Coturnix japonica: one gene and its partner. The protein of the gene in region 1 purifies or fractionates together with the protein of each later gene. This does not show direct contact. Links are inferred from orthologs where the notes say so. Each region holds a gene or a part of one and is shown on either strand. Other genes may lie near its edges. The genes, in order: RSU1 and PARVA.

The links.
Region 2: the proteins of RSU1 (region 1) and PARVA purify together in Homo sapiens (affinity purification with mass spectrometry; 3 studies listed by BioGRID and IntAct, counting the BioPlex papers as one, with this or other methods). This does not show direct contact. The link is inferred for Coturnix japonica from reciprocal best matches to the Homo sapiens genes RSU1 and PARVA.

The regions. Positions count from the first base shown.
Region 1 is NC_029517.1:18,291,090-18,293,701, forward strand, and holds the end of RSU1 (ras suppressor protein 1), read left to right. Parts: intron 1-1,490; coding exon 1,491-1,593; 3' UTR 1,594-1,971; downstream 1,972-2,612. UniProt on the Homo sapiens protein: Potentially plays a role in the Ras signal transduction pathway. Capable of suppressing v-Ras transformation in vitro.
Region 2 is NC_029520.1:12,245,380-12,249,209, reverse strand, and holds part of PARVA (alpha-parvin), read left to right. Parts: intron 1-133; coding exon 134-153; intron 154-1,497; coding exon 1,498-1,559; intron 1,560-2,224; coding exon 2,225-2,293; intron 2,294-3,830. UniProt on the Homo sapiens protein: Plays a role in sarcomere organization and in smooth muscle cell contraction. Required for normal development of the embryonic cardiovascular system, and for normal septation of the heart outflow tract.

The DNA of each region.
Region 1 (2,612 bases):
GCACAGTGCGCCTTGACAGCAGCCTGCTCAGCAGCATGATGTACAGCTGCAGTTGCTGAGAAGGTGAAAACGAGCACTGCCTCTCCTCAGTGCTCTGCCAGAAGCTCTAATCCCATTATGCAATCCAAGAACCCCGAGGCTGAAGTATCCTCCAGGTGCTGCACAATAAAGCTCAGAGCAGGTGCAAGATTTTAACCTCCCAGCTCCAGCAGCTACAACCTCTCTGTGCCTGCCATAAATAGCTCCACCAGAGCCACACTGTGTAGCGTGGTAACTCAAGGGTATCTCTGTCTCTTTGGATTCTTGTTCAACGTCTCTTGCATGAAGTTGGCCACGTAGTCCACCAGGCCCTGTCTAAGAAGCTGGGCAATTCCTCTGCTTCTGAAAGTAGTTTCAGCCTGGAAAGTAGAAAAGGTGACTCAGGTAAAGAGTTGCTTTATCTCTGAGTTACACACTCGGGCCATTAGCCACTGCAGAACTATGAAGCTGAGTGCCAAAAGCGTAGTGACACAAGGGACCTGCACCTTTACCTTCTTCAGCAGCAGCAGCAGCAGTCCTCTCAGATTGCAGAAGTCAGTGCTCAGCCTCTTTGGCAACAGCCGAATGTGGCACGAAGGTGAGCTGTTAGCAGGGGGACACCTTCCAGGGGGATGTCAGTGTTTGTGTCACCATTCCAGCTGTTTGTACAGCTGAATGAGCAGAAACAAGGCCTGTCCCTGCTCCCTTCTGGGTACACTGACACCCCCGCATAGTGCATCTTCAGAAAGCACTGTGTGCGAAGAAGGGAAGTTAGGTTTGAGCTGTGCTTATTTTTGGTGCTTTTAATTTAGTTTCGTTAGGATTACTCATAAATTATCTATTAATTACTATGTGATATTTAGCAAGATCCTCTCAGCCATGTAGTCTATTTAGCATTGCTATGAATGCTTGCTGTCTTAATTGTAGGATACTTTGTCAACATTTAATCAGTGGTACTTACTAATATGGCAGTGATGTGTTGGTAGCTGTCCCAGTACTATCAATCATGTGTGAGCAGCAAAGAAGGCTGTGACACTATTGCTCTCTGTCACATTATCAAGCCCTTGGGTTTTCTGGTTAGGGATGATGCTCACTTTGCTTTAAGAGAGCACTCTATCTCTCCAGCTCAACCCAATTTTTGTCATTGTCGACTTGAATATGCGTCGTCACAGTGCTCTGTGCTTCAGTTCCATAACTGCCAAGGAAAGGCTGCTAGTTTCTGAAGGCAGAGCTGATTGCTCCAAAAGCCCCTACTCCTCCTGGTGTTACTCTGGTAAGTCACAAACAGACTGGTAATACGGACTGCAGCATGAGATCTTACAGAGGAATCAATGTGTTGAGACAAAATAAATGTAATGACCTTCCGTGGTTTTTTATTTCTAGTAACCATATGTCTCATTGAACACGCCGCAGATCAAAAGCTTGTATTTAATGGTTTGATAACAAATGTTCTTTGTCTCATTTCCTTGCAGTCTTTATGGCAGACACATGCAAGCGAACCCTGAACCTCCGAAGAAGAACAATGACAAGTCAAAGAAGATCAGCCGTAAGCCTCTCGCAGCCAGGAACAAATGAGTCTCCAGCTTGTGCCTCTGGTTTTATATATTTTTTTACGTTTCTTTTGCATGTGCCTATAATATTCCAGCACATCTCCTATTACTCATATTGTAAGGAAGCAGAGACTAGAGGTAAAAGCAATTTACCGCATGTGCTGCTTTAGAGGATACTGCTTAAGGAATACCAAATTACATAGTCTCCTAATTACGGTCACATTTATGTAGCCATTTAATATATCACTGTCAAACACATTTTAGCTTTTCTATTTATACACATGTTAATGCCCTCTGTTCACATGTATCACATCCTGTTAATATCAGGGGTTTGCACCTATATTATACGATATTAAATTTCACATCATATTCCAAACGATTTTAATAAAGGTCTCTATTTGTACTGCGCTTTGATTTCTTCAGTAGGACTTCGGAGCAGCAACGTTCGTGAAGAATGCACGTGTCCCGTTTCCTGCGATGCGTTCCTTTCTTCCATAGGAATATAATGACATTTTGTCTGATGTGAGTTAGTTAAAATTTAAAGCCTTCTGTTCGAGGACGTAACATTTTTAATCAGTTTCAATTTATTTTTTCCCATGGCTGTGCCCTGCATTTTTGCCTTGGAGGTTATTTTGAAACCAGAGAGTAAGGGAAGAGAAAGAGGAAAGAAAAAAAAACCTTATCTTTGTAAGGAGCTGCCAATTGCCAGCCTCAGTTTGGGGAAAGTGAGCTTTCTCATTTGAAGAAGATGGTACTTCTGCCAATTTTTTAAAGCAATTTTTTTTAAAGCAGAAGACCCAAATAATGTGTTTAATCTCTGCCATGAAAACGCTGTACTGAAGAGCTGTTCCAAATGGCTGTTGAAAATGCCACAGGTGCTATATTTATCCATACAAAACCCGCACCAAAACCAAGCTCAGAGGCTGCAGTTGTGAAGCGATTAAACAACAAATTGTTTAACATCTGAAACAGCTTCGGGTCTTATCGGTGTGAGGGAAAAATAATAATACAGACAGCGGTTTTCGAATGGTTTTAGTCTTGCAA
Region 2 (3,830 bases), on another chromosome or scaffold:
ATTTCCTCCAGTTTTCACCAAGCTAAAGATCTGACCAGATACACTGTTTTATTTTGCAGCACAGTATCTGCAAGTGGATTATGTATTTAACTGTTTTGTTTTGTTCTGTTTTGTTTTGTTTTGTTTTCCATAGGGCATTTTCAGGAAGGCATGGTAAGTTCATTTCATTGTTATCTTCTTAAGTCATCCAAAGAGTACATCAGTTCTGGAATGAATGGTCAGTTTGATTAGTTTGCGAGGATTTAGAGGATTTCTAGTTGCCCTGGCAAATATATGAATATAGCTGCCACAGGATGTTCTGACAGTTAACAAAGGGAGAAAAGCATTGAAATCAGCGTGACCATCTTTAAAATGCATTTCAGTATTTCTCATCTCATGCTAGTCTGCAAGTGGTTTATGGTTTAGCCTCCAGAACATTATTGAAATAGTATTAATGATCATAAGCTCCTAGCATAATATTAAATGGTATCTTATGGTAAACTCACTGGTGAACATGTTGGCATTCTTGTATCCATTACCTGCTTACACTTTAATAACTTAAGGTCATTCTTCAGCGTGTTTCTGAGCCAGTAAGTCTCAAGGTTTGTACTGAGACTGGCCAAATGCCTGCCCAGCACAACACAGCCATCTGAGGAGCTTAGGTGGACACCCAGCTAGAATTCAGCATTTATTTCCTATATTGTCTCAGTTGTTGCCTTACTGCTGAGTTAAAGACTGGAGGCATGACATTTTCCCATGATATCTGAGAGCAGCCTTACTTCCTATAATGTCTGCCTTCTACAAATGCTCTTGGATGTACTCAGCATTTCTTTGACGAATATCAATGTAACTTTTTGTTGGGTCATTCTCTATCACTCATGTGGTTGTCCAAATGGCAATTGCTCTTTTTCTTTTCTCTCTTTTTTCCTCTTCAGAAGGTAACCACAGTGCTGCTGCAGTCATTTTACTTTATGTTGCCCGTCCTGCTAATCATGTCCTAAATTTCATGTCAGAATAGTCCAAAAACATGTATGCAAAAGATTTCTTTACAGCTGCGTAGTTGTAAGCTTGTTGAGGTGGTTAGTAACAGTGTAGCAGTCAGCTGAGCGATATATGCATATTGTGGCCTCTGGGGAAAATTTTCCTCTGTAGTAACTCCAGATGTAAAGTCATATTCTTCTGAACAAAATAAGTTGGTTACTTCAGCTCCCTGCATCTGGCTGTGTAAAGTTCAATGGATAAATATTCTACTCTTTGCTCATTTTTGAGAAACAAAGTTATTAAGTAGTCCAAGTTGTACTTGGAAATAGTGCTTTCTCCAAATAATAGAGAATAAGTTACAAGCAGCCTGAAGCAAGAGAGAAATATGCAAAATATATAGTACTTGGAATACAAAGGGACTATACTGAGACATTTTATTGATTCCGTTGTCTTAAACAATTGTGTGCTTAATCAAGTGTTTATCCTGTATTTGGACAAATGCTTCTAAGCATATTAACATCTCTGACTGTTTTTCAGAAAGAGATGCATTTGACACACTATTTGACCATGCTCCAGACAAGCTCAACGTAGTAAAGAAGGTTGGAATGATTCTATTTTAATAAGTACAGCTTGTGTCTACATGCTTGTGTGTGTATATGTAGTGTGAGTGTATGTATATAATATAAAATACTCATTGTTTGCATACATTAAATACAATTAAACTTAATGCTGAAAACAAAAATAGAGATTTATTATTATAATGTTTCTTTTTGATAGTATTTAGCAACATTAACTTAACTATGGAACACACAACAAAAAGTTTCTCAAAGTTTCCATCAAAAAGAAGTTCTTACTTCTTAGTGTGTGTTGATTAAAACCCAGCTGGGTTGGTTGAGTTTACTGATGCCAAAAAGGTATGGAGTTTACAACTGCCAGTAGCCTGACCTGGAGGATTTGGGCTCCTGTCAGATTCGAGTGAAGTCCAATTACCCACTTCCCTACAATCTGCCACAAGATAACTTTTTTGAAGCTGTTGTACTGTAACAGTGATTTTTTATTCATATACATCATGTTTATTTTATTTCAATTTATCATTATTTTTAAAAAAAAAATGTTTTTGAAAATCTCATAATTCAGTTATAGAGCCTAATTGTACCGCAGTCTCCTTGCTCTTGCAAGTTCTATTCTCAGTGCAGTATGTGCTCTGTGTCTGGAACAGGTGCTCAACTGAATAGACCTTCACTAAACTGTTTTCATGTTTCAGACTCTCATCACGTTTGTGAACAAGCATCTCAACAAATTGAATTTGGAGGTCACTGAACTGGAGACCCAGGTAGGATTTTGTAGCTTTTGTTGAAGGAGAGGGTCACTCATGCTGTGCAATGCACCGTGCCCCCAGCTTTATACAGAAATATAACTGAATTGTTATTGATCGTGCTCTGAGATGTTTTTTCAGTGGGAAACCCTTCAGTTTTAAATATATTCGTATGAGGAAAACCCTCACCAATTAAGCAGAAAAATCATAAGGGCAGCAACAGTTTTGTACTTTAATTAGCATAAAAATTAGTTAGCAGATGCTACCTCTTGGGTGCTGCTAAGTGCTGTAAGAAGAACATGTGCCTGTTTTGATCAGGAGAGGCTCTGTCTGCTCGGTTTGATACAGTTTCAAGATGAACAGTTGTTTCCTGCCTACCTTTACACTAGCAAGTAATCTCATGGGATTACAATGGTTCTATTCAGTGAGATGCATTCTTGAGACAGAAGCTGCTTGAGTGTATAGGCAGCTGTACAGTTGAGCTGCAGGCTTGATTGCACCACAGAAATAATGTAGTGCATGGTCTTCTTTTCCTGTTCTCAGATGCTAAATTGGCTAGAAAGTAGCTAAAAGAAAAGCTTTATTCTGTGGTATGAAAAAATCCCTATATGAACAATTGCAGCAAGAGGTCAGACAGGAAGGAGGCTACCCACACTAGAAGAAAAAACTGGTGTCTTCACAACAGGCTTTATTTAATGTCTTGATATGTGCTATTAAGGATCTCTGATTTATCTGACTTACTTTCACTCTGATAGAGGTTTTTTAAAGGTAAAATTGAGTTTTAGATGGAAAGGATCTGTAAGGGCTTTCAGACAAATGTTACTGTGCTTGCATATTGCATGGAAAAAAAAGGAAGTGTTATTCAAACATGCCTGGAAACACCTGAAGCATATATCCAAAAAGTACTCCCTAAGGTGAGAGGTCGTAGTTCTGTTGGTTGAACCAAAATAAGCTACCTCAGGAAGATAGAATGATAGAATCAATTAGACCCTTAAGATCAAAAAATGCCACCACTAAGCCATGTCCCTTAGTACCACATCCTCTTAAGTACCTCCAGGGAAGCTGACTCCTCCACTTCCCTGAGCAGCCTGTTCTAACACCTACCTGGCCATCTTTTCTGTGTAAAAGTTCTTCCTGCTATCCTGCTGAAATCTCCCCAGTGCAACTTGTGGGCATTTCCTCGTGACTTATCCCTGAGGAAAGAGACTGACACCCACCTCGCTTACCGTCTCCCTTCAGATGATTGTTTCCTTCTGGTATCTCAGAGTTTCATTATAGTAGACAATGCCATAGGGTTACGAGTGAGATGCCTTGAACGAAGTCTCATGAATGCTGTTATTTTTTAAATAGAGATAAATGTAGAACGTGAAAATTATCATTCTTTATTCCTTTATTTCCTTCAACATCCTGAATTTCAATGTAGTCATCAGGCTGCACCTTGGTTGTGCTTTTCTCCGCTCAGAGAATGCATGCTGTTTGATAGCTTGAAAACTGGTTGTTCTGATTTCCTGCAACTAACAGAAGAGAAAACAAAAACGCAGATCAATGTCACTGA